Arabidopsis thaliana: one gene and its partner. The protein of the gene in region 1 binds, or shares a complex with, the protein of each later gene. Each region holds a gene or a part of one and is shown on either strand. Other genes may lie near its edges.

Region 1 (5,214 bases):
AAAAAAACATCCCATCAATTTTGTTTACGGTTCCAGTTTTTGTTTTTATGTATTTTAAAAATATTTCAATGTATAGTTTAAGTAGCTATATTGAATCTATGATTTGGTAAGACATGAGAAATTTATATCAAAGTGGCGGTGTCCATGTATACAAAAATCTAATGTTGACGACAAGTCGTTTCATGTTAACAAAAAAAATACCGACTAGTCACATCTCTACAAAGTGCAGGTAACGTTTTAAGAAATAATTATCATAATCCGTTGGCAAAAAAAAAAAAAAAAAGACTAAAACAATTTAATGTATTGGTCAAAAAACAAAACTTCTACACACGATCTAAGACTATATCCATATTGATAAGATGAATTGAATCGATATATATTCTTACTTTAACAAAAAAGAAAGATCATTAGAGTTATCTTGTCTTACTAAAAGTCTTAGATAAAGACATAAAAATGGAACAAACATCATTGGGAATGCAACATGCATGTACATATTACATATAGTAAATATAATATAGTTAAAAGCGAAGTCATTATTATATGACTAAACTAAGATAATTAAAACATGTAAGCACACATTATCGGGAATGTATTGATATTAAAAGGGCACCACGTAGGTCAGGGTGGCCTCTCAAACCCCCCAAGGGACAAAGCAGCATTAGGATTGTCACTAAAGTACTAACCATGTGTTATTTTACGATATTATCCCCATTTGGTGTTAATGGTTCCAAGTGTCAATGTAAATAACGTTGACATATATAAGCCGTGTTTTGTTTTCACGTTGTTTAGGAAGCCAACGAGGATTGGGTAATTGGATCCGAATCAGATTGACACTTTCTTCTTCTTTACTTTTCTTGCTCTTCCACTTGACAATACCAATTTAGGGCTTGGCTGGATACAAATGTTTTTATCCTTCTTCAACCCGTTATCCGTTTTACTAGACTTAAAAAAAAAAGAATAGTATGTGTAAATATGATACATGATATCATGCATTTGTTAACTACGATAAAAAAAATCGAATATCTATATTGTCCATTTTGCAGATATCCCTTTTAAATATCTAACTAAATATCTGTAAATGTGAGGTTTAAAATTGAAATCCGTATATTTTTATTGATATGCACAACGATAGTTACAATAAGTAACATGACACTAATAATCACTCCCCAAAATTTTTATACAATTAGATATAATTTTAAATACTAATATTCTATAAATATTTCACAATTTTAGAAATTTTGATACTAACCAATTAATGTTAGCTTTGGATAACGAATGAAGTTATGGCCATCTTATTTCTTCTGAGCCATCTATTTAGCCATAGCCATCCAAAAATTAAAGAGTATCTTATTCCTCCCATGTCCAGCTTAAGGGACAAGCCAGGGAATAGCGACACGTGTAAATTGAATGTCGATTTTGTAAAAGGAGGTAAGTGGGGTCTACACAGTGGCTGCAAATAAACGAATCATAACTAAACACGTGTCAAAGACACAGTCTTAGAGGAGTCGATGTAAGTGGGACCCAGCATGACTTATCTTGGTTCAGAATGTTTTCCCCAATGGATAAGTGTCTTTTTGTTTTTGGTGGGATGATGAAACCTTTTCTATTTACGTCGACGCAATTTTAAACAATGAGACTCTTTTTTTTTTGTGTGTGTGCAATCGTTTAGAGACTTGTTCACATGAATTAGGTGCCCAATCATGTGTAAATTGGTAAGGTATATGTAAAACTAACAATTGTTACACTTGCCAACTCCAAACTTAGATTTAATCAGCCTACTATATTTTGAAAATTTAAGAAGATACAAGTACTGATGCAAAAGTTGAAAACCAAAACCAACTCATATGGGCCATTAAGCAACTGAAACTTGCTCATATTTTTAAAATTTTAACCAAAAGGTTATGGGTTTTAGGCCCATTAGTTTTTTTCAGACTGAGAATCACGTCAAGTTACAGTAATTAGACATCAAACTCTAGAAACATGTTTGCATAACTTTTGTTGTCAAAGATGTTTTGCATAGTTTCAAAATCCGCTTTCACCTCAATTCTCTTTTTACGTTAACTAATCGACTATGGGAGACTAGTCTTACATTTTGGTCGCTAAAACTTTGTTTATGAATATATGGATTACCGAAAAATAAGGGACCATGAAATAACTAATAAATGACCAAATAATATATGATGTTAATTTTTTTTTACTTTTCAGTTTTCATATAATAATGAAATAACTTGGTTACTCTCTTTCCTCGCCGTAGTCTGAGTCTGAACCCTAAAACATCCCGCTTCGCTGCTCAGGACCAAGAATCTCAGGTACCTTGTTAACTACTCGCTGTAACTATTATCGATATCCATATTTCTTCACAAAATTCGATTCTCTTTCGTTCAGATTCAACTGATCTTTGCAACATGACGAGGGTTTATGTCGGGAATTTGGACCCACGCGTCACCGAAAGAGAACTCGAAGACGAATTCAAGGCCTTCGGTGTTCTTCGCAAGTAAGTCCTATCTCTGTACTCAATTTTGTTTCAAGCCATACGAATTATGACTCTGAATCTTAAAAATCGCAGTGTCTGGGTAGCTCGTAGACCTCCTGGCTACGCATTCCTCGAGTTCGATGACGAAAGAGATGCTTTGGATGCAATCAGCGCATTGGATCGTTAGTGTTCTTCTCATTAGACCTCTTAGTTACCATGTAATGTTTGTATTATTGTTTGGTCATTGAAAAGTTTTACTCTTGTGGCGTATACTTCAGGAAAGAATGGGTGGCGTGTGGAGCTTTCTCATAAAGATAAAGGAGGTCGTGGAGGTGGTGGTGGTCGTCGTGGAGGTATTGAGGATTCCAAGTGCTATGAGTGTGGTGAGCTTGGACATTTTGCTCGCGAGTGTCGCCGTGGTCGAGGCTCTGTGAGGCGTAGAAGCCCTAGTCCCCGTCGTCGTAGGAGTCCAGATTATGGGTATGCTCGCAGGTAACGATCCAACGGAAACATTCTTATTGAGCTGCTTAGATGAGATAGTATGTCATTAGTATGTCCATTGTGTTAACATATCCATTGAAATTGCACTTTGTAATCATGTATAGGGGCTGAGTTGTTAATGTTGATAGTACCTTTCTTGATGTTATAATCGCTTTGTGACATACATTTTTGTTCCTGTGGAATTGATTTTGTTCAGGAGTATAAGCCCGCGTGGAAGAAGATCTCCTCCAAGGCGTCGCAGTGTTACTCCACCTCGCCGTGGGAGGAGCTACAGCAGATCCCCTCCTTATCGTGGTTCACGCCGTGATTCTCCTCGCCGCAGAGACTCGCCCTATGGTCGACGTTCGCCATATGCCAATGGGTAAAAGTTCTTTTCTCTTCTTGGATTTAGGTTTACTTTCTCAATCTGCATGACTCAACTTCAGCATTGTCTATGTAGATGTGAATAACATTTGAAGTATTTTGATATAAGGTATATATTCGTTTGCGTTTCTGCAGGGTGTGAAACTGGACCCTGAAGAGAAAGAAGCTATTACTAAGCTATGATGCTATATCTACTCTGTGGCGCCTTTTAGGATAGATCTTTATATCTGCTATTATGGTATTAGCTCTTCTAGGTTTGGTTGTTGAGCATGGACATGTCATGGTATGTTCGAGTTTTATTAGACAATTGGATTTGGTGAGTTCTCCTTCATGCTGTTTTCCAACAGCCGTCTTGACTTATTCTCTATAACACGCACTGGCCTGCTGTCTTCACACAGCGTCCTTGAACCCCTACACTTGAGGTCGTTCTTTCGTATCCATAAATGTTTTGTCTCTTGTTGAATGCACTTTCCTTATTATATAGACATATCTAAAAAGCTCAACTGTTTCCACTCTTTTTCCCTTGTGAGGTATGATTTATCGGGGATCTCTTGGCAGCACAGCTGCATCTTACTCTCCCCACAACTTAGTTTTATCATGAATCTGCATCCTCAACTCGACCAACATCAGCTAGAATTTGCTTGTTACATTGTGTGACTTTTAGATTGCCCTGCTCTTTACTCACCACTCCTACCCCAAGTCTGCAACCAAGCTTCTATTGAGAAAGACGAATCTGTTTCTTCACCCCGTCCTCTTCCTAGCTCTCGGCTGCTATATCACCACTTGGTTTCTCTACTCACTTTTGTTTTTCGGTCAACTTTGTTACACATCTGTTGGTGGATCACACACTTACATTAAATTAAACCCATTTGTGGATGCTTCTTTTTTATATTGCTTGTGAAAAACGTGTTAGCTTAGTCTTTTGTGTTCATGATTTGGTTTCCCACTTATGCTTTTCTTTTCCCAATTAATCTCGACTTTTAATCTGTTCTTCTTCGGCCGCCACATGTTTTCATTTTAATACTTTTCTAAATTTGGTTTTGAGGCAATTTGGTTCAGATTTGTTGGTATACCAATTCTTACGTCAACGTCAATGAAGAAACGACTCCATATTTACGAATAAAAAACTGTAGTAGATCTGTACTCTCCCTTTTTCTTTGTAGAGAAGAAGAGAACTGTGAAAGAAGATGAAGATTGAGGAGGATCTAGGTTTCATCAACATACTCAAACGAGCAACAAAGCTTCTATGTGGTAACATCAATCTTGTTCTCTTCCTCTTCCTTTGCTCTCTCCCCCTCTTTTGTTTCTTGATCTTCTTCGAGCTTTCACTCCAAACCACTGTCTCACTCGCTTCTCAATACCTCGTTCGACAACTCACTAATTGGGATTACTACTACGTTCCTCAAGATGCTTCCGTCTTGGAGAATCTGATTCCATTGCTTATCCAGACATTTCTACTCTACTTGTTCCCGTACGGCCTCATAGACCTCTTCACCACCACCACAATAGTCTCTGCATCTTGGACTGTTCACACGTCGGAGGAGGAACCGTTAAGGTTCGGTCAATTGGTTCGGAGAACGGTAGAGATATGTCAAAACAGACTTGAAGGTTGTCTGATCACCTCTCTGTACGTCCTTCTCTTGTCAACCCCTGTTTTCTTTGGCTTCTTATTTGTAGCAACGAACTATTTCCACATCATTTCTCTGACCGGATCAGGCGAAAACTCATACTACTATTCTATAAACATTGAAGAAGATGCCGAAGGCTATTACAGAAGCAGCAGTGTCAACAGTCCGGTAAAGATGTTGTTTGATGCGGTTTTAGCTATGTTTCACGGTGCTATCTTTCTCGGTTTACTGGCGATGTTCAGCAAGTGG
Region 2 (4,836 bases), on another chromosome or scaffold:
TTTATTACGTGTGAGGAGCTGAGAAGCAGAGGAGAATCAAGGTAATCGGAGAAAGTGAAGTTATGAGAAGATTGTGAAATCGGAAGAGGTGGTGGTTGAGCCGTCTTGAACTTAGGTAAACCAGACCCGGTTCTCTCTGGATAGTACCCACCAAAACTCGACCCAGAAACTCTCAAGTCTTCATCATCTTCGTAACAGTCAACGCCGGAAGAACCAAGAAGGTCGGTGAAAGAAGTGGAAGACATGATGGTCTTTAATAAAGGAGACAACTTTAAGATTTCTAAAACAGAGGATTCGCTAAAAAAGGAAACTTTTTTATGAAATTGATCTTGAAATGAAAAAGAGGATAAAACTAAAAAAGAACAGAGGCTTTTAGATTGGGTTAAAGACGACGACGGTGGCGTATTGAGCAAGGTTTTTTTTGTTTCTCTCTCTTCTTGTCTTTTTCTACTTTGGCCTAAATATCATTTTTGATTTTAATATTTCTATAAAATGGTTGACCAGTAAGATATTCTTTTTTGATGAGTCGTCTCCTAATTTGTGATAAATCGTCAAGTGTGAAACCGCGTTTCAAGGGTCTCTTTCAATGATTAAACCAAAACCGGATTAATCCGTTAACCAATAGAACCGTTGGTTGGTTATACACACCAGGTTTGGTTGGTCCAGTACTATCGTCTTAAAGGACAACAAACAAACAAAAACAAGACTCTTATCATTTCTTGGCGAAAGAGATGACCATTGGATTCTGGGGAGTGATTTTGAAACCTTGAAGAGGTTGCATAGCTATGGAAGCTTGAACATCATCTTCGTACTCTACAAACGCGATTCCTGGTTTTGCGTCGATCATTCTTATCTCTTTGAATCCAGGGTACTGTTCGAAGAGAAGCTGTAGCATCATGCTTGTTGTCTCGTGTGGGAGATTCTGAATGAAGAGTATGTTGTTTGGTGGCATTGTTTCTTGCCCGCTCGGCTGGAACGAAGGCTGCATTAAGAAGAGCAGAGATAAAACGCAAAACATCAGCATCATCTCCAGATAACAATAGTTTGGTTCACATGATCCAACAATGGAAGATTTTTCTGAAGATGAAGGTGAGAACAAGAACACTTACCGCAGGGACTCCGTTATTGGCACTTGGACCATTAGCACTTGGGCCATTAGCCGTGTTTGGTCGTTGGGAATCTTCACGCTTTCTTTCAACTGAAAGTAAGAAAGGAAGTTTGTTAACTTTAGATGCAAGTGAAAATTTTATAGTTGTATCATTGAACCAACATCTACGACAAAATGCAAAAAGAAGAAATAAAGTTTAAAACCTTTTTCTTCTTGCTTCCTCTTCTTATCTTTTGGAACGAAAGTTCCCTCAGCTTTAGCTAGACAATCTGACTTTGCTTTTGCATATTGTAAGCGCTGCACTTAAAAGATCACATAAAAAGTATGAATAATAATAAATCTCAACCTGATTGGAAGTAGTTGAATAGTTTACAAACAATCGAAAGAGGTAAGATTTAGTTATAAAAACAATGTATATATCAAACAGAACAAACATTTTGACAACAGAAATCATAAGAGAATGTGATTTGAGAAGGTCAGCAACAAAATCCAAACACACATATAACTAAATGTTGATTGAGAATAACACAGTCAAAGGTAATCATTGGTAATCACATAAACACACTAAGGATTTCTGCTTTTACCGCATCAATCAATCTATACAACACACAGAATATCACTTCCAGGGAAATTATACAGAGATTGATATACTCAAGACAGAAAAGGTAGTGGATACTAATCATTGGTTACTCATCAACAGCAACAAAATCTAAACACATATATGACTACCAATGGATTGGGAATAGAAAAAGGTCAAAGGTTCCAAAACAAATTGTTAGTAATCAATTACACAAACACACTAACGATTTGCTTCTATCGATCTATACAACACATAGAAGATCACTTTCATGGAAACTATAAAGAGATTGATATACTCAAGAGTGATGAAATACTGACCATTGGTTTATCATAGAAGGGAAAATTTTGCATCTGACGAACAGCATGACCAGCAGCAGTGACTTCACTAAAAGTAACCCAAGCTTGTCCTCGGAGCTTCGGAGTCTTCAAAGCAACCACATCAAGTATCCTCCCAAACTGAGAGAACAAACAGTAAAGAGATCTCTTCAATTCTGAGAAAACAAAAACCAAGTCAGATAAAGCATGAGATTGATGATACTGCCCTGAGCCAACACTACTTCACACGTCTATAACAATTATCCATACAATGGCGAAAACAGACAACACCAACATATATATCTTCCTTATAACCTTGTCACTAGATTCAATACGATTCTGAAACCCTAGTATTTAGAAACGAACACTCTATATAAGCTAAAAACAAGCAAAAACCCTAACATTCAGTACTGTAGAAGCTTGAATCATTGGTACAGGAAGTTCATGGAGGTTTCAACATCTAAGAATTTGGAAATTTACTTGACGAATTAGATTAAACGAGAAGAGAAGTTTACCCTCTTTCTTGATCCTTTCGTTGAGGTTTTGGATGTAGATTGATTGATTCGGTGGTATATCTGCCGTTAACATCTTCGAGTGAGCTCGTGAAGACGATGAAGATTCTCGAGACTGAGGAATTTAGAGAGAGCCCTAATGGTGGGAACTGGGAATGAGAGAGACGAAGAAGAGTAAAAGAAATAGCTGCGTTTCAACATCAGACTATTTAACGACGCCGTTTAGTTTGTTGGTTCGATTTCCTAAACTTTTGTACCAACGTGAATGAGCCGACCGGATGGACCGGATTTGAATTTGACCGGCTAGACAGAATTGAACCGGAAATAGAATGAGTGGTCGGGATTGGACTTTTATAGACTCGAGATCAATTTTTTTATTGCAAAATTCCAACAAAAGTCTTGTGAATCATTTTGATTCAAATGTTCAACAACTTTTTAAAATAATGTAAATGATGTTGTATTTTTCCAGCTGAGCTTGCAAATTTGTTCTGAAAAAAGATTTAACCTTAGACCTTAGTATATCTCAATATTCATGTGATAGATAATACAATTCACGTGTGAGCCGATTGAATCAAAAGGCATTAAAAATGCAATGTACTAAAATGCCTTTTTGTTTCTGTGTTACATTTTTCTTTACACTGAGAAAATAAATCGAGGATGTTTCACTTTCATCCTTGAAGAAATATGGCAACCATTGCGACTACTAGTGAATGATCGATGGATCCAGGAAATATCGTTAACCGGAACTTGCTTCTCCCTACGTAAATCTGTCTCAGCTTGTACATCAAACTCGTCTGCCACCACATTTAAAGGAACATAAATCAGATTGAGGCAAATGTTCAAACACAACAACAACAACAAAAATCTTTAAAACAAGTGTATTAGAATCCAAGCAAATTTTACAAGCCTAATGAATCCGACTTCAAATGAACGAAACAAAGGGTTGGTTGTTTATCCATCAGCAAGCATGATCCAAACGATGAGTTTTGAACCCGGTAATCAAAACCAGTATAACACGGTATTGACTCTTGTCTAGCTATAGAATGTTCAATAGTGCTGTAATTGGGAGAAGATGAGTATCTTTACCTGTGCAACAATGGAATCTTGACTATAAATGGTACAAGATTTCTGAAAGGGAACACCTTTGATAACAAGATTTTCGGACGATTCTCCAGCAAAAGAGACCTCTGACTCTGTCTTACTGAATCTTTTCGATGTCCGCTTCACCGTTAGAACCAAATCCTTACGCTTTTCCACATCTCCTTTATGTAATTCCCACACTCCATTCTACATTCCAATACATATACAAAGATCTGTAAGTGTTCTTATGATATATCTCAAGCCAGTGACTAACTAACAAAACCCAAACAATCAAAAAGTATAAACATCGTGTGGACTATGTAATGAATAATGAGATTTAAACAAGTAGCGATGAGAATTGCCAAAATCGATGAAATTTGGGACGAAGGAGGCTTACGTGGAGACGAGAGATGGAGAAGAGAGGAACTCCGGAGGAATCAAGGAGAGATTTCAAGGAGGAAGAAGATTTGCGGAGGATGAAGACGAGATGTTCGGAAGAATCGGCAAATCCGAGATCGCCGGAGGAAAGTCCGGGAAGCTTTTTGGAAGCGAAGAGATCGACTGGTATACGCCGGAGATCCTCAGGGTCGGGGTGATACGGAGTCTCGGAATCAGCCATTTACATAGTCTCTAATAACAGTCAGAAGCGTAAGGTAGAAGAAGAACAAGAGAAGCAGCTTATATTCAACGCCAATGTTTTTTTTTGTTCTAATGATGTCGGATCAGATTTTTTTTTTTGCGGCGAAACATTCTTCTTACACCAAAAAATAATTCAGATGAATAAAATTAAGCAAGTAAATAATTGGATGTAGAAGCCAAAGATAATAAAATAGTAATGATAATTTTCTTTTACGTTCTTGAGATACCAATTCTTGTTTTTTTTTTCACACAAAACTGAAATGCAAAAAAAAAAACTAAAAAGTAATAACACATTTTTTTGATGTTTGATCTTGATTAATAAATTAATAGAAAATGGTAAATGTGTTACTTACATTAGGTTGGAAAAACGTATGGTTTAACATATGTGTTTGTTGGAAAAGATACATTTTTAGTGAACATACCTTTGACATGAATTGATTTATAAAGGTTTTTTTTTTTGCATTTCCATCCCTCTCAAATGTTTGTTTTAAAAAAACTAAGAATTATGTATAATCTTTCAAAATGTATTGATTTTATTTTTTTTTTATGTTTTCTGTAGAATATATATATGATGATCTACTCTGTTCAAAACATCACCCTTAC

What was found.
Region 2: RSZ21 (region 1) and U2B'' share a complex: the UniProt entries of both Arabidopsis thaliana proteins name them as parts of the spliceosome.

Annotation. Positions count from the first base shown.
Region 1 is NC_003070.9:8,426,356-8,431,569, reverse strand, and holds RSZ21 (RS-containing zinc finger protein 21), read left to right. Parts: upstream 1-2,084; 5' UTR 2,085-2,309; intron 2,310-2,328; exon of another isoform or gene 2,329-2,385; 5' UTR 2,386-2,405; coding exon 2,406-2,494; intron 2,495-2,566; coding exon 2,567-2,655; intron 2,656-2,751; coding exon 2,752-2,965; intron 2,966-3,170; coding exon 3,171-3,335; intron 3,336-3,472; coding exon 3,473-3,479; 3' UTR 3,480-4,313; downstream 4,314-5,214. Other genes in the region: AT1G23850 (uncharacterized protein), read left to right, coding at 4,525-5,214. UniProt on the Arabidopsis thaliana protein: Probably involved in intron recognition and spliceosome assembly.
Region 2 is NC_003071.7:12,904,845-12,909,680, forward strand, and holds U2B'' (U2 small nuclear ribonucleoprotein B), read right to left. Parts: upstream 2,822-4,836; 5' UTR 2,591-2,821; coding exon 2,518-2,590; intron 2,179-2,517; coding exon 2,006-2,178; intron 1,406-2,005; coding exon 1,312-1,405; intron 1,199-1,311; coding exon 1,110-1,198; coding exon of another isoform or gene 1,050-1,109; exon of another isoform or gene 983-1,049; coding exon 713-982; 3' UTR 501-712; downstream 1-500. Other genes in the region: WRKY25 (WRKY DNA-binding protein 25), read right to left, coding at 9-245; AT2G30270 (LURP-one-like protein (DUF567)), read right to left, coding at 3,183-3,308, 3,601-3,801, 3,992-4,213. UniProt on the Arabidopsis thaliana protein: Involved in nuclear pre-mRNA splicing.